Linked DNA regions of Arabidopsis thaliana. The protein of the gene in region 1 interacts with the protein of each later gene in a pairwise test. Each region holds a gene or a part of one and is shown in the gene's direction. Other genes may lie near its edges.

Region 1 (6,274 bases):
GCATTACTTGCTTGTGTTTTTGACCTTTCACATTGTCTCTGGTCTTTAGTTATTAGTTTTGAGCTTAACACTACTTTTTTTTCTTTCTTTTGGACTCGAGGTTACAAGAAGTGCTTCGAGTTTGTTTGTTTTTCTTTTATTGTTTTCAGACTAACTCGGTGATTTATGTGGGATTGTGATATATTATGTTTTCTTTTAACTGATTTTCACATTTTCAACTGATTATATAGGATGATGTTTATGCTCTCGTAGAAATAAGTTCTATAGGTTATTGACACATTCGAGATTCAGGCGCAGTTGTGTTAGTAGTGGTCAAACCAAACCCACGAGTTACTTCTCATGATACAGTAGGTTAATAAAGGGCTTGAATGGTGTACACTTTTATTTTACGTTTTGAAAACATAATTCTGATAAATACATGTTATTCTAAAAAATTTACGCTAAAATTATAGAACATGAATTTAAACACTATAATCTATAACTATATTTTTTTTAAAACATTGATTTAATGATATGGGATGTTTTTCTCAGTGCTTATAAGCCAAAAAATATGTTGGTAATCTCAAAAAAAAAACCTTGAAAACAAGGAGGCCGATCAGGGTTCTTTGGGCTTTGGAATCGAGAAGTTTGATCAATGTTCTCTTGGTACAGCCTGATGATGAGGCCCCATTAGAAAAGCTATTTCATACTCCAGAGTCCATATCTGAATGTACAAGGTTTTTAAATGGAGAAAAGCCTATAGAAGAAATTGTTGACTATACTTCTTCTTGTACTAGCTGGGAAACTGATACTGACTATACAGATACTGAGAAAGAAGAGTCCAATGTTCTCTTGGTACAGGATACTGATACTGAGAAAGTGGAGTCCAATGGTCTCTTGGTACATGATACTGATACTGAGAAAGTGGAGTCCAATGTTCTCTTGGTACAGCCTCATGATACAGAAAAGGTGTTTCCTACTTCAAGCTCAGTATCTGATTGTACAAGCCTATTAGATGGAGGAAAGCCGCCTATGGACCAAAGCGTAAGCTCACAAGGTGTCGACAATATTACTGCGTGATCTATTTTTTATTTTATCTTTGTTTATGCACGCGTTCTCCGTTTTGCTCTATGTTTTTCTTTTCTTCTCTCCCAATTCTATATCGTGATCTCAGTCGAAACCATGAGTGAAGATTTCTCCAGTAAGATCTCTTTCTTCCATATGTCATACATGTAGACGTTCTTTTGTGGGAAATGGACACTCCTGTGGACTATCCTACAGAATCCAATATTATCCTCATCTCTAACAACATCGAAGGTGATATTGACTTCATCCAGTGTCTTGTATCTTCAGCTTCCGCAGGTTACAATAATCTCTTCGTAGAGACTACTGAGGCTGCTCCCGAGAACCTTGAAACCACAGGATGGCCGACATACATATTACAAGGAGGGAAGCCTATCGGCCGAATCCGCTATAATCCGCCTCGCGATCTGTAGTTGTTTTCATTGAGCGGAAGAAGAAACATGAGGTAACATAAGAGCAGAGCTGATACTTTGATTCGGTGCATATGCCTATTTTGCTACTGGTGTCTAGAGCCGTGCTAATTTTGATGTCATAGGCGAAAAATATGCTTTAATATTTTTAAAAAATATTATACATATAAAAAAAATCAATGTTTAAAGTTTAATAATAAATTAAGCAAAATTAAAGCAAAACTTAAAAAATAATTTAGAACAAAAATATGCCCTACAAAAAATAGGTTGATTATAATGTGTAATCTAGTAAATTGTGTTAGTGTCATTATTGTGTTATCAATCAAAACATAATTTTGGTAGTTAAATTTTTTTAATATATATATAATGTTAATATCCAAAACGTAATACCTATATATAAAAATAATTAATTAACTTTGATAAATATGATTAACAAAAATGAAGCTGGTAAAGAAGTGAGAAAAGAAGACTTTAGTTATTGCCTTAAGTGTGTTTGATATAGATGCATTTTTTACAAGGAAAATAGTTATATTTGAAAGATATATGTACTTAGCTTGTGTATTAAGAAACTAAATATTTTAATATGACTCAGATACATTTCCTCTCTCTAAATTATTGTTTTCTGTTTATTTTCATAAAATAGTAGAAGTTTTAAAAATATTAAAATGATCACAAATATTTTCGTAATTGTTTATAGATTTTACCTATTTCTTGTATTTTAGGAAAATTTGTAAATTTTAAAATGTTTATAGTTAATTGAATTCTTAAATAACTTTTAAAACCCTAATAAGTTTTCGAAAAAAAAAAATTACTTTCCCTACTATACAATAAGAAAATGTATCAAAAATCAAAATTTAATAAAAATGAATAAAAGTAAACTTATATAAAGGGATTGAATAATAATAAAGTTCCCCTTAATGGTTAAAGATAATGAATACACGTGGCGTTTCTGGATTTGGTAGAATATGAACCAGAGAGAAAATAAATAAAGAGATTAAAAAAAAAACGAACGGTGCTGATAAAAGTGAAAACCTAATCTCTCAATCGCAGACGTTGTCATCTCTCTTCTTTTCTCAAGCGTCCGATCAATCTCTCCTCTTCTCTCGATCTCTCTCCCTCTCTGCCTCCTCTCTTCCTCCAATCAACAAACACCTCTCTGTTTCACTCCCGCCCTTTTTCGAATTCTTCTGGTAAATCAATCTTCTCTCTCAACTTCTCTGATTCATTGCTTCATTTCAATTTTCCCCTTTTCATATCTTATTAGGATGTGTTTTGTCTCTGATTTTCTTCGTTTTCTGTTGATGGGTTTTGTCTATTTTGTGTTAATTGTTGTAAAGTTAGGGTTTTTTTTTCTTTCTGAGATGGCGGAGTCGCAGGCCAAGAGTCCCGGAGGCTGTGGAAGCCATGAGAGTGGTGGAGATCAAAGTCCCAGGTCGTTACATGTTCGTGAGCAAGATAGGTTTCTTCCGATTGCTAACATAAGCCGTATCATGAAAAGAGGTCTTCCTGCTAATGGGAAAATCGCTAAAGATGCTAAGGAGATTGTGCAGGAATGTGTCTCTGAATTCATCAGTTTCGTCACCAGCGAGTATGTCTTTTTTAACCTTTTAACAATGCTATGTTGTGTTTGCTCTTGCTGAATGTTTAGAGGCTTGATAGGAACTTTGAGTTTTAGTTTCAAGTCTTAAACTTTATAGTGATTTTTGGGTTTTTCTTAACTAGTGAAAGTTGAGGCCTTTTTAGTCCTTACATTGGTTACTCTTTCTTGTTGTTCATCTTTGTTTGGCTTTGATGTTGCATATTTGATGATGCAATGGTTTTTCTATGACGTTGATGAGCAGAGCGAGTGATAAATGTCAAAGAGAGAAAAGGAAGACTATTAATGGAGATGATTTGCTTTGGGCAATGGCTACTTTAGGATTTGAAGACTACATGGAACCTCTCAAGGTTTACCTGATGAGATATAGAGAGGTATGTTCTGAGTACGATGTTTATTAGTTATGCTGTTGTGTGAAGAGAGTTTTTGAATTTCACTAACTTACTCTGTTTCTCCTTTTCCTTTTCTTGCTCTACTACGTGAACTGGAATATCACAGATGGAGGTCAGTGGTTCTTCTTATTCTATTTCTTGTTCATTCCTAAAACTTGCAACGATCTATGATCTTTATGGCTTCCGTGAATCATCTCTTTTTGTCAACTTATGTATCAAACTATTTATGCTTTCCTTATCCTTTTCAATGATCAATAGGGTGACACAAAGGGATCAGCAAAAGGTGGGGATCCAAATGCAAAGAAAGATGGGCAATCAAGCCAAAATGGCCAGGTATATGTCTCAAATCTCATGCCTTTGACCATTTTTTCGTCTTCGCATTCATCTGCACGTATTCTCTCTTCCGCTTTAGCTAAGTTAGTCTGACATTCATGGGGTTTGTTTACCATTTGGCAGTTCTCGCAGCTTGCTCACCAAGGTCCTTATGGGAACTCTCAAGTAACTTTTCCTCTCTTCTCTTCACACTCAAGCAATACGCATCATTCTCTTCTAATTTGTTAAGAATTGAAAACTTGTAAAGCATCACTTATGTTATAATCTATGAATACCTCAAAATCTGTGAACTAATTTGACATTGGACTCGGTATAATTGTAGGCTCAGCAGCATATGATGGTTCCAATGCCGGGAACAGACTAGTATGAGAGGAGTATTCAACTTTGGTTATGTTCCACCAAAAGAGGTTATCTTATCTGTATATTATTTGTGTTGTAAGAGTTTTGCTATGCAGAACTTGTGACTATAATCATCTCATTGTTTTGTTTTGTTTTTGTTTCCTTGGATTTGTTCTGAATATGTCATCAAGTCAGTCAGTCTATTTATATATTTGGTTTGTTGATTATTTCAACACCGGTCTAAAGAATGAATTCTGATTTTAACAAAGATTTCATACAAGAATGAGAACAAATGAATACTTATTTGGAAAATGTTCACCATCGATAACGTAGTAAGATCCAGAATCTGTTAAACAACCCTTACCTAAAATAGTAAGAACCCTAGATTTTATGTTTATATCGCCTGCATTATCTTTAGTCTTTTAGTAGTAACGAAAGCAAAATTAGATGCTTATTGTTGTTTATTTGGTTACAGTTGTTGTAATCGCGGCGTTATCTGTTAAACCAAATTAGAGATTCTTTTTTAACATATCGTTTCTACAAAAAAAACGGGAATAATCCAACGGTCACAAATTTACAAATCAACGGATCACGTTCATTTCGGGCTCACTTCTGTCAAAAGACTTAAGACAAAAAAAAAAACTCAAAAATTAACAAAGAAAATTGATTAAATATTAATAAATAAGAAACCGCCGATTTGCTTCGTTTCAAATTCTTTCATCTTTTATGCGATAAAGCTTGTTTGATTTTTCTTCTTATTGAATCTGTGTGGTTTGTCTATGGGAGAAGAGAAGGAGAACTGGAGAAGCGAGCTCGACGATATCAATGGGCTTAGTCTGATTGATTTCTCCGCCGAGGATGATAACCTCCTCCTCTCTTCCTTTCTCGATCCCACCACCTTTGATTTCTCAGGTTATTTCAATTTCCATCTCCAATTTCTGGAAATTGTTAGCTGAAGATTTTCCTGGGAAACTTGTGAATTGTGTGATTTGGTTCATGATTGTTCATTGTGGGGATTTATAGATTTTTTAAAGCTTGATTAGATTTTTTTATGATGATGATGGATTCAGATACTGATAAGGAAGACAGAGGTCTTTGTTTATTTGGAGATACACATAATTGTTGTGATGAAGAGACTTTGGGCTCTACTACTTTAGAAGAGAAGGAGCCTCATAAGATCATGAAGACTAACCTACGCAAAAGTCTTGCTTGGGACAAAGCCTTTTTCACCAATGCAGGCAAGTATTTTTTTAGTGGCTGTGTTCTGTGGATTTGTTATTTAGTAGTAGTTAGTTTTGCTGAGATAAGTTGGCGCATTTAGGTGTTTTGGAACCGGATGAACTGTCTAGCATGATGGGGAGGAAAAGTTTACCAGCGGTTCAAGAGGATTTGCATAGATCAACAGAGTCTATGTCTACATTGAAAAGTGACTGCACTGTGGAGACTGGTCAGGAATTTTTTATGTGTGATGCTGCAACACCTGACAAGCGTAAGGACTTGGGATCAACAGAGGCAGTACCTAGCCCAAGTAAGCTTTGTTTCCATAAGCGGATTTATAAGGTTCTGTTTATTTGCATCTCTGTCTATTGTTTTGGTGTAGAAAGAGCTTTAGTTTAGCAGAATGGTTTTTTTTTTTATTGAACATGATATCTTATTTCTAGCAAGTTGTTGTGCTTTTGGTCACTAGTAAGATCTTGTTGATGATGAAGCTTTTACATTGTATGATTCTCTTTATGGCTCCTCAGCCAGCTCGCATCTAGTGTGATCTATCCTGAGATTCTAAGTGATCCCATCATTTTCGTTGATTGTATCTAGCTAATGATCTGTATGGTAGTTTATATTTTACTATAGGAAGTACTGTTTGAAACTGTATATGATTGAAACCTATTTAATTTCCGTTATCTATGAATCTCAAAATGACCATCTTTTTTACTTTTCTCATTTGAAATTTGTAGCTACAAGTACACTAGACGACCCTAGCTCTGAGGAAAAGGTAAGTGCCAAAACAACTTTAAGCTATGGATTAATCTTGCACCCCCTCCCTGATTAACCATGTCTTTGTTTTGATTTTTTTCTCAGATGAAACCCAATCCTATTCGTAAAAGGCCAGGTATTAGATCACAAGGATTAGCGAAGGCGAC
Region 2 (4,337 bases), on another chromosome or scaffold:
TGCACATATAAGCGACAAAAGGCAATATTTTGGCTCTTTATGCAAATTGGTCACATGATATTTTAACTCCCCAAGAAGTTGTGGACAAGTATGAAGTGCCTCAAGATTTCAATGAAAAAGAATGTTTGACGATTGTGACTTAAAAATAAAGTTGTAAGTTGTAAATCCCATGAGTTTAACAAGCGGCACAACCGTCACAGCTCACTCTTCCTCAAAATCTTGAAGCACTTCTACCATTTCATACTTGTTCATTTCTTCTAAAGAAGTTGAAATATTCCAAGATAGTGACCAGTTTGCATAAAGAGCCAAAATATTGCATTTTTTAGGATATATGTGCATTATCCTTTGTTACCTATTGTCCACATCAACTCTATGTGAGAACGAGTTGAGAGAGTCGTTGCTTATATGTTTCCCAATTGAGAAGCATCCACTCATCCTGTAATACCCTGAATCAATCTACTTCTTCAATAAACCCACATATCCATTTTTCTCACCACTAAGCCAATATATACTCAACTTGAAAGGTTCTTGAGAGACAACCTTATGGACCAATGCATACCACCGTCGCCATCAAAATCTAAGGACATACCCAAGGAAAGAACTATTCAGGTTCTCACATCAAGTTGCTTTTCAGTTGCTTATAGGTAAAGGAGGTGAAAATGATCCAGAAGGTCATCCATTTCCATTTTGCTCTTCCTTTTGCTCTTTCTTTCCGCTATTGATCATCCTTTTCCATCTTATCTTCGTCAAAATAGTGCCACAAGATCTTTCAAAATAGACAAATTGATTGGAAAATTAAAATTCCTAAAATTGCAACAATATAAGTTCTAATTTTGTAACAATGCTGAAACAATTTCTCCAAATATTTTTTTTTGTATAAATGTTACATTTAGTCATCAAAAAAACCATGTTTACATTATACGCAACCTTGTTCTTTGAGAGTAGACCATAACTATTTTAGAAGATAGATAATGGTTGAACAAAAATAGAAAAATAAAACCCACAACTAGATTTTTTATTTTTTTTTGTTAATTCCCACCACTAGATTTTGTACGACGAATATTTTAACATAGACACTACCTAATACTTAAAGCAACTAATATAGAACAGGTAATGAAATTCAACAATACCAAAAAGATGATTGAGGAACGGAGATTGACGGTGCTTAACAGAGTCGAGAGCTTTGATGATCTCTCCTTTATAACTCAAACATCTCCTCGTAGTGCGAGGGTTTAATGACGATTAGAGTCGCATGAGAAAATTGTTATCTCTTTTCATTGGCAACACTCAAAATCAAAAGCCGAACGAATACTAGTCTTGTGTTACACTCTCAGACCCAAACAAAAGAAGAAGAGAGAAGAGAGGAATTTTGATGTTTGTGATCTTATGAAGAGAAGGAGAAGACAATGACTTGACTTACATAGCCCAAGCTCAACGTATATATATTCATGAGGTGATCTCACCTTAACGAAAATTTATGAGATTTTGATTCTCACAACAATGTCAAAAACGTTTTCTGACCTTAATTGTCATAACTGATTTTTTGTTGTTGTTACAAAACTCTATCATTAAGGTAGATATTTTTTATTGGTTGTAAGCCCATTTCCCAACTCTCAAATCTCAAACCCAACCCATGTATGTTTGGATTTCTCCTCTTACTTACTGTATATTATATACCAAGGCAGCTATTTTGGACCTTCATTTCTCATTCAAATGATAACTTCATTTTTGACATTCCAATGCACCACCACGGTCCGCGTAGTGCTTGCAACAATGATTCTATTGTGCCGAAAAACCGGTCATTCCGATGAACGTCTTCACCGGAAAAGTGGCCACAACCACTTCATCAAAAACAAGTTCCAACACCCGCGCAAAGCTTCCTGCATGAGTTGTTTGTTTAGGAGTAGTACTCTTTTAACAAGTTTTATGGATTCCTTATCTAAGACTTCGAGATCTGATCTTAAGGGGAAACGATATCTTTGGTTTTTGAATTTCAAGATTGATATTTATCGAACTTTGTGCAAAAACCATCTATCTCTTTCCACCATTTATGTTTTCGAACCAATGCACTTCAAAGCCTATTTGGGAAAATCTCAAGTCTATAGATGTGATAAGACTTGAGATTTCGCCAAATAGGCTTTGAAGTGCATTGGTTCGAAAGGCTACGAGTATAATCAAACTGAGTATTGAAAGGTGTGTTTCCTCTTCTCCACACAAGAGTTTTGGTGCTACTGAGGAGTGATGAAACTGATAATGTGGTTATGGAGGAGTAATGCAGTAATATCTTGAAGAAGGAGGCGCCAAAATAAAACGGCTACTCTTGTTTAACTCCAAACTGTTCACTTTTTGGAACAATCCAACTCCAAACTGGTCACTTTTTATTTAAATTTAATATTTTGTTTGACAAAATTTACTAACATATTTATTAATGATCTCTCTTTTATTTTGCAGTTAAACATCAAAATGTGAGATTCTCTCTTGAGTGTCTACCTCCTCATGTTAACAAATCAAATAATTAGAGAAATAACCAAAATTTAACTTTTAGAGGGACTACAGGATTTGTACTTTGTACATTCATATATTATTGTTATATATCGTTTCATACATTAATTTGAACCAATGTAAATTAAGTAAAATTCAATTTAACATCATGAGCAAATTCTTATTAAAATTCTCTTAAAATTTTGAGCAAATTATGCTTTCACATTTAACATTTGAAAACATCATTTTTAACAAGATATTCAAAACTAAGTTTTGTACAGCAAAATTTTAACTTTCAATTTTATAGAGAAAAAGGTATTTTTTTTTTTGTTTCATTTTTATAAGACTATTATTTGGTATATAATATACACTTTAAGTAAAAACAAATCTCTTTCTTTTTTCTTCTTATAATACCAACCACAAGTCTGTCAGTCACACACATACAGTTAATAACATTAAATATTCTTAACAAACTACTAAATAGGTTGAGATTCATATATGTAAAGAGATCACTTCTTAATCTTATCCTACCATATCTTATATACGCTTAATTTTCCTTTATATATGCAAACCTCCACATAAAAATATCTCAAACCCAAACACTTCAAACAAAAAAAAAATGGAGAACAACAACAACAACCACCAACAGCCACCGAAAGATAACGAGCAACTAAAGAGTTTCTGGTCAAAGGGGATGGAAGGTGACTTGAATGTCAAGAATCACGAGTTCCCCATCTCTCGTATCAAGAGGATAATGAAGTTTGATCCGGATGTGAGTATGATCGCTGCTGAGGCTCCAAATCTCTTATCTAAGGCTTGTGAAATGTTTGTCATGGACCTCACGATGCGTTCATGGCTCCATGCTCAAGAGAGCAACCGACTCACGATACGGAAATCTGATGTTGATGCCGTAGTGTCTCAAACCGTCATCTTTGATTTCTTGCGTGATGATGTCCCTAAGGACGAGGGAGAGCCCGTTGTCGCCGCTGCTGATCCTGTGGACGATGTTGCTGATCATGTGGCTGTGCCAGATCTTAACAATGAAGAACTGCCGCCGGGAACGGTGATAGGAACTCCGGTTTGTTACGGTTTAGGAATACACGCGCCACACCCGCAGATGCCTGGAGCTTGGACCGAGGAGGATGCGACTGGGGCAAATGGAGGAAACGGTGGGAATTAATATTTGGATTGGGTTTTGTAACCGCTGTTGTGAGAACTTGAATTTCTTTTTGAGTTCTGCTTATGTTTTCAATGTTATGTTTTTTAGTTGTTGAATGTATTTCTGTTGTTTTGTCCAAAAAAAAAAAAGAATGTATTTCTGTTGTTGTCTTTCAAATGAATCTAATGGTTTATGAATATTGGCTTTAGATTAATTTATGCATACAAAAACACAAGGATTACGGATAAAAAAGTCCTCAGTTTACCCATGGAAACATAATCTTCTAGTGATTCCTTATGAGAGTAGAAAAGAATCATATATTATAATCTATTTCATAAGAGATAGGGTACTGTAAACAAGGATGTTTATTCGGCTATTTCTTTTTTTTTTAATCACTTTTACTTGTCAAGACTCTTTTGTGTTTGCAGCTTTTTGTTAGATTACATTCTAGAGGCAACAAGATCCAGAGATCTAGCAAAAAAAACTTATTTTGAAACCTGAATCTATTTTAAAAATTTTCCAACTCATTTTTCGTTCTTATTCTTTGTTTTCCAACGGAATTTGGCGCACAAACGATTTATTTGAATTTTGTCTTTCAAGAAATTTTAGCGCGGTTTTAGCGAACTCTTATGAGGAAGTTATTAATTGAATTATTTTTGTTTTTGTTTTTTCTAATTATCATTTCTATATATTTCTC

Evidence for each region.
Region 2: the proteins of NF-YB8 (region 1) and NF-YC5 interact in a two-hybrid assay, tested with the Arabidopsis thaliana proteins (one large-scale study listed by BioGRID).

The regions. Positions count from the first base shown.
Region 1 is NC_003071.7:15,573,503-15,579,776, forward strand, and holds NF-YB8 (nuclear factor Y, subunit B8), read left to right. Parts: upstream 1-2,493; 5' UTR 2,494-2,662; intron 2,663-2,809; 5' UTR 2,810-2,833; coding exon 2,834-3,060; intron 3,061-3,313; coding exon 3,314-3,443; intron 3,444-3,567; coding exon 3,568-3,573; intron 3,574-3,719; coding exon 3,720-3,794; intron 3,795-3,917; coding exon 3,918-3,959; intron 3,960-4,116; coding exon 4,117-4,158; 3' UTR 4,159-4,414; downstream 4,415-6,274. Other genes in the region: AT2G37070 (TRIO/F-actin-binding protein), read left to right, coding at 4,913-5,045, 5,204-5,371, 5,455-5,661, 6,089-6,126, 6,213-6,274. UniProt on the Arabidopsis thaliana protein: Component of the NF-Y/HAP transcription factor complex. The NF-Y complex stimulates the transcription of various genes by recognizing and binding to a CCAAT motif in promoters.
Region 2 is NC_003076.8:20,559,934-20,564,270, reverse strand, and holds NF-YC5 (nuclear factor Y, subunit C5), read left to right. Parts: upstream 1-3,042; 5' UTR 3,043-3,100; coding exon 3,101-3,661; 3' UTR 3,662-3,837; downstream 3,838-4,337. Other genes in the region: AT5G50500 (uncharacterized protein), read left to right, coding at 1,714-2,121. UniProt on the Arabidopsis thaliana protein: Stimulates the transcription of various genes by recognizing and binding to a CCAAT motif in promoters.